3 linked regions of the Bombyx mori genome follow. The protein of the gene in region 3 binds, or shares a complex with, the protein of the main gene of each other region. Links are inferred from orthologs where the notes say so. Each region holds a gene or a part of one and is shown on either strand. Other genes may lie near its edges.

Region 1 (4,344 bases), on a different chromosome or scaffold from region 3:
TTAATTTCTTTAACGCAACCAGCAGTAATGAAGCTTCCACTCTTTTTGCATTTATCTTTTCTTTAGCCTGTAATTATAACTTTTGCCTTAATTGCATTGTTCCATATTTTATATTATTTAACATTAATTACAATTCATAATATAATCTAATCATGTCCATTTTTTTTTTTTATTTGTCGAGCCGGGTGCCGAACCTCCTACGAGGTCCCCGCGTCTAGGGGGGTGTGGGACTTTACGATCTGGTAGTCAACACTACAACCAGACACGCGACGCCACCCTGAAGACGCCGGATCGACGAGTCCTCAATGCGACAGTCGACGACAACGAAGCCGGTCTCCGCGGTACGACAGCCCTGCCAGGCCGCCCGGGCGATGCCGCTGGTGTTCCGGGATACCCAGCTGGACCAGAACCAGCCTGCCGGGTCAGAACGCGATACTCCTGCAGACGACGAAGGCCACCCATACACAGGAAAGATGTCCCTCCCCCGGGTAACGACCAAAGTGTCGTCCGTGTAACAAGCTACGCTCAGACCCGGGAGAGGAGTGCTAAGGGCACCCCGCAGGACCCAGTTCGTAGCCGACATTCCACAAGAGAGGGCCAAGGACCGACCCCTGTGGGACACCACGCTCGACGGGAAAATGGAGCACCGCCCCACAGTGCCCGGTGCACACGGCCATCCTGTTCTCGAGGTAGGACCCGACTCTTATTATGTCCTGCATTAACTATTAATTGAAAAGTGGCATACCTCCAATGTTTCTTTAGTTTTTAACTCTGCAATCTCTTTAAAAAGTTGCCTTATGTCTTGGCATGTTTTATTGAAAAAGGCAGCATCCTTATCAGCTGGACGCAGATGAGCTTCAGCTTCTTCAAATTCAACAACACGCTGGAACAATCCATTTAAAACACATTTTGTAATGAATGAAGAATCTTGAAAAATAAAGACAATTTTTTTGGTGTACTGGGATCTTGTTCAGTTTACAACTTCTCTAAGTGTTAATATTAAACTTGTTTTGAAGATCACAAGATATTTCACGAACAGGATTCACTTAATTTTTATTTTTGTTAATAATAAGTTAAAACTGAAACAAAAACTTCAACAGAAAATATAAAAGCAACAGCTTGCTAAACCAGGAGCCACAAATATAAATTCTCATTTATTAGTAGAACTATGTACTTAAATTTACATTATTATACATATTTATGGTACAGAATAATGAGTCTTGAGGTTATGTTACATCTTATATATTTTGGTCAATACCTTGTATACATCAACGGGAACTGGCTTTGTTCCGTCATTTGATGTACTTGTATTTAATTTGCGCCGTTTCTTAACAGCCGTTACTTCTTCTTTTCCCATGTTTAGTTTTATTCAAGTTTATCAGATTTCATCCAAGTCTGGAACTTTAAAAAAATCACTAATTTAAACAGACAATTACAACCTTACTGCCTATTCACTCTATTCACTGGATTTGTTTTTATATATTAAAGCTTTTACTAGCATCGTTCACGGTAATGTTTGAATTATTTTTCTTTTAATGTTAGCCTTTAATTTGAAAGGTAGTCTTTAACTATGATTTTTTTTAAATTATACTTCATTATTGTACCTACTCAGCAATAGACATGCGTAGTTCCGGACCTAAATAGTTCCTGGAACTATGTCCTCATATGGAACTATATCATTCAATCCGAGTTGTCAAAATTAACATGTTCAGACAGTTCCATTTCCATTCCAAGTGTACTGTTATGCAGGAACTACGAACGCGTTGAACATGACGGACATGCGGACATGATTAGAGCATAGGTACCGCGCGGCGCGGAGGCGTGGCGCGGCGAGTCCACCCGAACGAGTCTCGAACCGACACGAGTCCACGTAAAGAGATAAGGCGACATATGGCACGAATACGAGAGAGTGAGATGGAGCGAGTGCATGAAACTGCGTGTGGAGCTCTTTCATATTACATTTTTATTAATATTGAAGTTATGCTCTACGACCTACGTGTTACAGTCGATAGTTGAATAAATTAAAATGTTTTGCTATGGATTTTGACCTTGACCATGCATCATTCCTACGAGCACTTAACCTTAAGTGTTTGTAGACCATTTCTTAGAAAATCATAATTCAAAATTCGAGAATTTTAAAACATTCACCACTTTCGCTATTCGGTATCTCGGTTATGGGAAAAAGGTTGTAAGGCTACAACGAGCTCAATTTACGTTGTATATCAGAATAACGTGGTATTTTAATTAACAACTGATAGGTTATAGTTTTCGGTGCATCGTACAATACCTACATTGAAAAATAATGAAAGTAGTAGAGTAGTTGAAATTATGACAAAGTAATTACAGTACATTAATAAATTATGCAACCAGCTGTAACAATGAACCTAAAACTAAAAACCTTACAAAATAATATTACAATAATAATTGCCATAAGCGGCAATCTATTTTTATATAGTGCTTTTAAAAAATTGTATTTTTAATACCTTTTTTGAAAAATATTGTGTAATTAATAATAACTTAATACGTGATTCGCTACACTACAAACAGTTACTAGACTTAACATGTCCGCGGAACTAAACAGCTTCAAACAGCTACTAGACTTAATATGTCCGCGGAACTAAACAGCTACAAACTACAAACAGCTACTAGACTTAACATGTTCGTGAAACTAAACAGTTCCGCGAACATGTTTACTGGAACTAGTTCCGACACTCAAAAGAACGATGTCATGTTCAATCCAGTTCCGAACATGATTAGCGCACGTCTACTCAGCAATAGCAACTCTCCATAAATGTCAGTAAATGTCAGTTAAGCATCCTCAAATATTACCTATGTGATAATCTATGTGTGCATCTCTCAGCTCATAGATTTCGACTTTTTGGCGGGAATGCGAGGAGTGAAGCTGTGTGATATGTTTTATTTTGTCTATTTGGTATTTCTTCAGGTTTGAATGTATGATAATGGTGGTTTATTACCTGTTTAGTATTTGCGAAAGGGCACAAATGTGGGAAAATGAAACAAAGTCGCTAGACGTAACTCCTCGGGATCCTCCAAAAAGTCCACTGAAAGAATCTCAGTAAATGACCACCATTTTACTGAGATCATAAATATTTCATCCCATATCATCTCATTTCATTTAATTTCATCCCAGTTGATTAGTTATCTAGTTTATTTTATATAAAATGACTATGATCCCTTTGCCTCTTTAAGTACACAAAACAAAGGACATTTGTTTTTGCTTTCCACCTTGAGAAGGTCAAAAATATCACTGCTGTAATCGCGCCAGCAACCAAATCCTTATATTTTGCCAAACCCGGCTTGTAAGGTGCAATTTTGTTAAATAAGGATATCGCTTAATTTAAGGTTTGTAATTTATTATTATTATGATGTGTATGGATTACAAAAAAGTGGAGTAGTGCAAAAATTTTCAATACAAAAAAATTAGATGCCGATCATTAGCCATCCAATTTTACGTAAATTTCATTGTATCCGTTGAAAATGACTAATTCTTAAACCCCGTGAGCGCAATGAATTTGTAATAAACATTTTAAATCAAAAAATATTTTAAAGTAGGAATTATGATTGTACAACCTATGTTTGACCTTGCCGGCGCATCTCATTCGATTAGCGTTAGCAATAGAAGTAAAAGTAATAGAATTAATCCTTTAATACCCTCAATCGATACAATAAATCTTTTTGCAGTATTCAAGGTAAGTCTCGTGACTAGGCTGTGTGCTTTGGAAATCAGAAGTAGTAATAAGTTGAAATAATGGGGTGTTTTATTAAGCAAATAAGAGTGTCAAGATCCTAAATGGGAAATTGGTGGTTGTATTTTAGGTCTCGGTGGTTCTATGTCTAAGATTTTAAAGGTTGCGTAAATTGCTGGATGTGGGCTATGTAAGACCAGTCATTGTGGTAAACCTTGCTTATATACAGCAGTAAATTTCTGTGGGCTGATGATCCTGAGGTCACTGGGTTTAAATCATACTTTCAATTTAATGACTTGTCCCATACATTTCTATCAACAGATGAACAAAAAAGATATCTGAAAAAATTGAAACTAAATTGCCAAATCTAAAATTCACATATACTAAGCATTATATAGAAATACAATAAAATAGTAATTTTGTATTGATTTAACCTTTAGGATCTATTAAAAATTAGTTTTTTGAGATTGAGATTGCAAGTTTTTTTCTGAACTAAATGAAAATTCAAAATTTCCATCAATTTTACACATCTTTTATTTTTGTAAATTGGACAAAGTCATTTGTCCTTTTATCAAGATAGATATACCGGTATACTTTAAGTGTCTTAACCATGTTGATGGGGCATGATGACTTCTAA
Region 2 (2,978 bases), on a different chromosome or scaffold from region 3:
TTATATAATTATTTTGATGTTTTTGCTATTGATTTATGCCCTGCTAATGAGTCTGTATTACAGTGTGATTTTTTAGATACACCAATTGGCACTAGAACCGTAATTGAAGACAATAAAGTTAAAGAAATAGGAGAAAATAGCTATGAAAGTGTGACATTTTGTTTTTTATTAGAATATATTCCAACTTCCCAGCTTCGAATAACTGCATGTCAAAAAGCCTATGACATATTGAAACCTGGAGGGTTGCTTACTGTTACCACACCGGATTCAAAACACGTTGGAGCAAATAGCAAAACAATGAAGTGCTGGCGTTATGCATTAGCCTTAATGGGTTTTTCAAGAATTCGTTATCAGAAATTTCAACACATGCATTGTATGGCATTTCGAAAGTGTTTATTGAAAGATGTAGCTATTCGCTGGGCTAATATTCATAAAGAACCTTTTATGGAATATGCACTACATATACCACAAGATTTTAATACTAATGAAATTAGTAAAAATTCTGCCCAAAACCAAGTCATCCATCACATAATTGATGATTTTCAAGAATTGCCATTCTATAACATGAACGAATGATTTAATATGTAATTAAAATGCTTAACAAATATTGACTTAGTAGAATGTTTTATTTATTTAAAACAATACTTATATACTAATCTTAATTTGTTAGAGTAGACTTTCCATTATCAGAAACATGTTCTATGCAACAGCACCAAATTTGGCTTTACGTTTTTCCAATTTCTCCTTTAGTTCAATATCTGTCATTATTTTGGAAACAGATTCACCAAACCTCTCTGCTCGCTTTCTAAGTTTTTCCATATTTTCGTTTAACGTCCCTGTACTAGTGAAGGTGTTCTGATTATCATTTTGATTAAACCTTTGTTTCCTGGCTTCCTTTCTCTCAGACTCGGACATTTTAATAGGCAAACCAAATCTTTTAGCACGCAACTCTAACCTTTTCTTTGGATCTAGATCAGTATTTATTTTAATGACATTATTACTTTCGGATGCCGTTTTCGGCTCTACAGATTTTTCATTAATTTGATCATCAACAGTTTTAGAACTGACAAGTGAAATTGATGAGGGTCTATTCAACACAATTTTCTTTGCACTAGCATTTTCTGCACTTTTATCTTTGGTTTCTGCGTTGGTTTTGCGTTTTAATGTTCGTGTTGATTTTGTTTCTACAGCGATTGTCGCAGTAGAAGACTGTTCCGAAAGAACTAAATCTTCGTTTAAAGTGTCCACGGCAGTATCATCAAGTACGTCTGTTTGGCTTTTAACTTCTTCGTCTTCAAAAACTCCGTCCGAGTCCATTTCGTCAAATTCAAAGTTGATGTCGGTGTGTTCATCTTGAGATATAATTGCAGCTTGTAGTCTAGCGATTAACTCTGCTTTGTCGCCGGCGTATGAAAGTCCACGTGATTTTAATTCTTTACGTAGTTCAACAACTTTCATCTTAGTCACATCGGAAACTGTTGAATCCGCCATAGTAATCAAAAGTAGTTTACGTTATTGAACAAGGAACTTTTAGAATGCTTACACGCGATGCTTAGCGTTAGCTTACACTAGAAATTAGAAATACGAAGTGTATAATCTATGTTCACTACTTTTTTTAAGAGATTTTATGACCTGGTAACTAACACTTTTAGGTCATGTCCTACTTTAATATTTAATATTCTTAATTTTATGAAAAATTATATGGAGTAAAATGAAATTAAGTGAAGATGATTAATTTGAGACATTAATCAACCAGAATGAAATTAAATTAAATAAGATGAGATGATATGAGATGAAATAAATCTTAGTCAAATATTTACGGAGATTTTATCAGTTGACTTTTTGGAGGATCCCGAGAAGTTACGTCCAGCGGCTTTATTTCATTTTCCCACATTTTTGCACTTTCACAGATATTAAACAGTTAATAAACCACCGTTATTACACATAACGGCCATCTGGTGTAGTGGTAAGTGACATGGTCACTACACAAGGGGGTCGCGGGTTCGAATCCCGCCAAGGGAAGATATTTGTATGATAAATATAAATGTCTTTTCCAGGGTTATGGATGTATATTAAATATATGTATGCGTATAATAAAAATCTTACATTTAAATCCGTTATCTGGTACCTGTAACACAAGTTCTTTACGAACTTATCACGGGACCAGTTAACGTGGCGTGATTGTTAGTAAATATTTATTTATTATTATTTATTATTTAAACCTGAAGAAACACTAAATAGACAAAATTAATCAAATCACACAACTTCACTCCTCGCGTTCCCGCCAAAAAGTCAGTTAGATTACAACGTAAAATGGAGCATAGATTACACGCTTAATTAAAATAGCTGCGAAATTTACACAACAACGTAAGTACCTGACAGACTAAAAGAGGGTAGAAGTTTAAACAGCACAATCTCTGAAAAAATGTGTGGAAAAGTGATTAAATGACTTTTTTACCGGGAACCCGGCATTGTGTGAATTGATTAATTTTATTTAATTTAGAATTTCATTTCGTCATGCTTAAACGTGTTATTACGGCAGCTTAAATTCCGATCCGGTGATAGATTCTGCGAAACACTCCTCTTGCTAGAGCTAGTATTAACAAACTTTCTCAGATTGAGCAGGTTGTAAGTTCACCCATCCGCGAGAACCTGGAATAGGTAGGGAAAACATTTATGTAATTAATAAGTACAAAATCTCTAAAAAATGTTCCAATTATACGCCGTATTTCTAATCAAGTGATATTAAGAGTGTTCATGTCGTAACTACGTTCATGCTTTGAAATTAGAAAAAACTTGAGTCTATCCAAATGATCGGAAATCGGAATAAAGTTCACAATAGAGTCATACAGTCATACACAGAGCATTTAGAAAGATAGGCGAAAGTTTCTATTTGATTAAAGCCAATGAGGACGTAATTTGACTACAAACAAAGGTTGAAAAATTTATTAAATGTATTAGTATGTAATTTTAAAATA
Region 3 (4,222 bases):
TGCGGGCAGTACACATTCGATACGTCTGCTGTGCTGTGTCCTATTGTACACTTACATACTTATATTGAGTTAATTAAGTGCTAATCTACCTATATTGTATCGAAATCCTATGTTATATACAATATACATTAAGTGAATGACATAACAATATTAATTCTCTCTGTGTTACCTATCCTTTGTGTCAGTGCCTAGACAATCTAGTTAGTTGAAGCAGCTTAAATACTACTGCTCCTATGATACCACAAAATGGGAAATTCAAACCACAGCTATATAATTTGTCGTATTTCTTCTTTACGGATCATACCATTTCCACTTTCTACACTAGCGTTATTTTGTTGATTCTTCGAACTGTAACTTGCTGTTTACAGGTAGACATTTTTCAACTTGTCCCCTACACAAGATGGAATACTCCTTAGTTCTATCCTCCATGGCAAGAATGAAGTAAACTTCAGAATACATACAAACTTTAGTAGCAGCACTTACAACTAACAAATACAAAACTATTTTTATAGTAATGTTGAAACTATTTCCTTCTAGCAGTGAATTGATGAATTAAATGTTATAAAATACTAACGTCATAATATGTACGCATCCCAGTCCGTTGGTGAGGAAGAACAAGTCCGATGTATTATTCCATGATATCTCGTTCACTTCAAAGTTAAACTGTTCTTCTGTTACCTGCAATAAATAAATGTCTTAATGTATGCAGTAACTAAATCGATACAAATCACCCTATATTCATGTATTTGAAAAGACAGAATCTCTGGTATGTATCCTCTTTGAGTGGTATTTTTTGGTATTAATTGGTCAATCTTTAAAAGAGTGTCAATAAAAAAATTACAATTGGCTTAATAATACTATTTTATCTGGATGATACAAGAAATATGACCAAGTTAGACAGTGGATTTTAATGATTTTCATACATTTTATATATGTAGTTGAATTTTTATCAATGCTGTGAGAGATGATAGATATGTATGTACAGTCAAAATCTGTTATAACGACATCGAAGGGACTGCTCAAATTCAGTCGTAAAAACCGATAGTCGTAACAACCGGTGATGTTTAATGTGTATCGTGCAAGTACAAACAAATCGATAGGGAATTATTGGAAAAATATATTTATACAACAACGTACATTTTGTTTATTACACATAAGTACAATGCATATTAGTTTTCTGTGAGCATAAAATCTGTAATTTTGGTCTGTTTGGAACACTTCTGCTGTGCGTAGATATTTTGTAATTCACGTTGGATTTTAATTAACGTATCGTCATCGCTCTTTCCAAATGGTTGAAATTGTCGAGTGTGATAACCATATTCCTTTGCTAAGTCTTTGTTTGAAATTCCGCTCTCTAGCTTGGATATAATCCGCGATTTTTCTTCAATATTAATTTGTTTTCTTTTTCATTGCGACATTTTTAAAGTTTCACGAATAACTCCATAAAGTTTTGATGCGTCTTGTGTATAGATAAGTAACAAACTAACTGAAGAGATATGAAGAAGCGGGCTTTGACTCTACTGCATGCACGTGTTTTGTTTCTAAGAATTAGAAAAGACCCTACACTAAACTAAATCCTATTGTTTTCTTTCCTGATTTTAATATCCATTGAAGACAAATGTGGATACCTATTCAAATTGTTTACAATACAGCTTAGCTGGTCGTTCTAACAGATCTAATTCTCCGAAATATTAGTTAAATGTGGTCGTTATATGAGGTATGTCGTTATTAGCAATGTCGTATAAAGCAATGTTTTTAATAAGGCGGTCATATGGCATTCAGCCGGGACCTTTGTTCTAGGTTATTATAACCGGTATGTTGTTCTAAACGATGTCGCAGTAAACGGTTTTGACTGTATATAAGTAAAAATTCATTACTCACCACTTTATAAGTTTTTGTATCGATAAATGAAACTAAATCTTCCTTGTTCCCTACCGCAATGGTGTTGCCATTAGGAGACCATGCTATATTTATGTTTTCACCTTTGGTTGGGATTGTCGCCGCGCATTTGTGTGATCTATAAATTTTATTATCCTGTAGAACACCCTTAGATTTTCTATATTATAAGAAAAATTTAAAATTAATAGTTTAAATTAAGTCACCATGAAAAAGCCAACTGAACTCAATGGTATCAATCTTGTTCAGGAAGATATATTATGAAAATTTACAATAAAGGTATGCCACACTCTCTACCGCAAAATAGTATTAATGTTCATTTGGAACTAACACTTGTCTTTTATGAATACGATGGAATCTCAACTATTGTATTCATGTGTGTTGATATAAAAATTTCTAGATGTTTATAATTTTTTTTGGATATCTCATATTAATATTTATTTATAAAGGGCTAATAATTAACATCCCAGTATTACCGTGTATCCCATATCCTAACAGATTTGTCTCCGCTCGCTGTACTCAGGAGATCAGGATGTGACGCATGCCAGCAGAGTTGATCTACAGAGCCTGTGTGGCCTTTGAAAATAAAATCTTGACTCTGAAATTTACAAAATTTGTGTCTACTTATTTTTATTTCTAGGCTGCACAATTTTTAAGTTATTGCTTAAAAACAAAAAAAAATTTATTATAACCTCTCAAATTTAGTAGGGATTTTAAATATTTTGAAATAAACAATAACTCACCAATCTACTCCTCTCTAAATTAAATATTGCAACGCTTTTATCGAATGACCCAGAAGCCAGCTTTCTACCATCACAGGACCAGCCCACGGAATGTACTTTGGATGAATGTGCAATGTACTCGCGTGTAGTATTGTGTGACGCAAAATAACTACGTAATTCACTTAAATCTTCTATAGGAGCTTGCGAATGCTTTGAATCCTTCATAGCTTTGGTTATCATGTAAAATTTAACATTAAAATTTTAGTTGTTTTCCTGTTAGTGTTTTTTGTTTATTTGACGACTGTTCCTTTCATCGGACAAGCAAAGGAAATCTAACTCATACAGGCAAGTCTTTTGTAATAAATGCCAAAACCTCTAAGTTGTATGAAATTAAGACTATTTGGCAGCAGCACGAGAAGCAAAGTTGTAGGAATGATTTCATTATTTTATAGAAGTAAGATGAAACAGCGCTCATAGAAATGATGAGAATTTACTGAGATTTCCGGGATAACCGAAGCTACGTCCAGCGATTTTGTTATCCTTAATTTTAACCTTTTAGGGTCGTATTAATGCGGATCTGGGTTTGCTTTGGAAGCTGAGAGTAGACCTCTCGTTCTCGCAAAAAGTTTAGAATGCTTTCTAAAAATATCTTTGTAAAGTTCATTTCCATAAGTTTTAAGGTGAACATTACAAAAAGTTACAGAAAACCTTAAAAAATAATTTGTATGCCGAACTTTTACCTTATAATCTTGTACTGTACCTTAGTGTTCGACATTTATTTAATTAACGGGTTGTTACCAGGTTGAATGGATTAAGGCGTAGAGGTGAAGCTGAATACGTTCTGAGATTTAAAAATAAAGACAGTAGAAGAAATCAATTATTTATTCGTCATTCACTTGCCCATGTATTCTCGTCGCCACACCTTTATTTGGCTCATGAAGTAAGCCATTGGAGTCAACCAAACTGTGAGCATAAACGCGCAGTGCAACAAAGCCTCCTGAAAAAAAAGGGAAAAGCACAACGAAAATAGCATTAACAATAAATAATGTATCACATCACACAGCAAGCAGCACTTGGTAAGCCGTGGCTTGGCTCTGCCCCTGGCATTCCTGATGTCTATAACTCATAGACTATGAGCGACGGTAACTACTTACCATCAAGTGGGCCGTATGCACATCCACTTAGAAAGGCAATAAATAAACACAAATATCTGCACATAAGTGCGCAGAGAGTAATTTTTCTGAATTAGTAAACTGATAACCATCCGACATATTATTTTTTAAGTTTACTCATATATTTTTAGTATCAAGCGTTACTTTCTGTGTTAAGCCGCTTGTCAAAATGGAAGTTCGTTCGGTAGAGATCCTTTATACGCTCTTTAAATGGTCTGGGACCTCATCAATCACAATTTATATCTTTTAATGCGTCTGCCGTGTTAGTGGATGTTAGCTTACCTCAATCATCGTTACTTGAACAAGCTTCACTGCAATTCTTTTTTTTTTTCTTACCTATTCTAGTAACCTCAAGGGGTTATATTAGATTTGCCGAACGACTAACTGAGCTCACGAGATTTCTAATCTAGTGACGTTGCTAACACTAGCCCT

What was found.
Region 1: THO complex subunit 3 (region 3) and THO complex subunit 5 homolog share a complex: the UniProt entries of both Homo sapiens proteins name them as parts of the transcription/export (TREX) complex. The link is inferred for Bombyx mori from reciprocal best matches to the Homo sapiens genes THOC3 and THOC5.
Region 2: THO complex subunit 3 (region 3) and SAP domain-containing ribonucleoprotein share a complex: the UniProt entries of both Homo sapiens proteins name them as parts of the transcription/export (TREX) complex. The link is inferred for Bombyx mori from reciprocal best matches to the Homo sapiens genes THOC3 and SARNP.

The regions. Positions count from the first base shown.
Region 1 is NC_085114.1:10,650,218-10,654,561, forward strand, and holds the start of THO complex subunit 5 homolog, read right to left. Parts: upstream 2,837-4,344; 5' UTR 2,769-2,836; intron 2,750-2,768; exon of another isoform or gene 2,484-2,749; intron 2,107-2,483; exon of another isoform or gene 1,496-2,106; intron 1,416-1,495; exon of another isoform or gene 1,402-1,415; 5' UTR 1,358-1,401; coding exon 1,259-1,357; intron 884-1,258; coding exon 746-883; intron 68-745; coding exon 1-67. UniProt on the Homo sapiens protein: Component of the THO subcomplex of the TREX complex which is thought to couple mRNA transcription, processing and nuclear export, and which specifically associates with spliced mRNA and not with unspliced pre-mRNA.
Region 2 is NC_085113.1:6,730,927-6,733,904, reverse strand, and holds SAP domain-containing ribonucleoprotein, read right to left. Parts: upstream 1,492-2,978; coding exon 700-1,491; 3' UTR 608-699; downstream 1-607. Other genes in the region: S-adenosylmethionine sensor upstream of mTORC1, read left to right, coding at 1-576. UniProt on the Homo sapiens protein: Binds both single-stranded and double-stranded DNA with higher affinity for the single-stranded form. Specifically binds to scaffold/matrix attachment region DNA. Also binds single-stranded RNA. Enhances RNA unwinding activity of DDX39A.
Region 3 is NC_085132.1:2,065,689-2,069,910, reverse strand, and holds the start of THO complex subunit 3, read right to left. Parts: upstream 2,955-4,222; 5' UTR 2,859-2,954; coding exon 2,640-2,858; intron 2,495-2,639; coding exon 2,373-2,494; intron 2,018-2,372; coding exon 1,882-2,017; intron 679-1,881; coding exon 575-678; intron 1-574. UniProt on the Homo sapiens protein: Component of the THO subcomplex of the TREX complex which is thought to couple mRNA transcription, processing and nuclear export, and which specifically associates with spliced mRNA and not with unspliced pre-mRNA.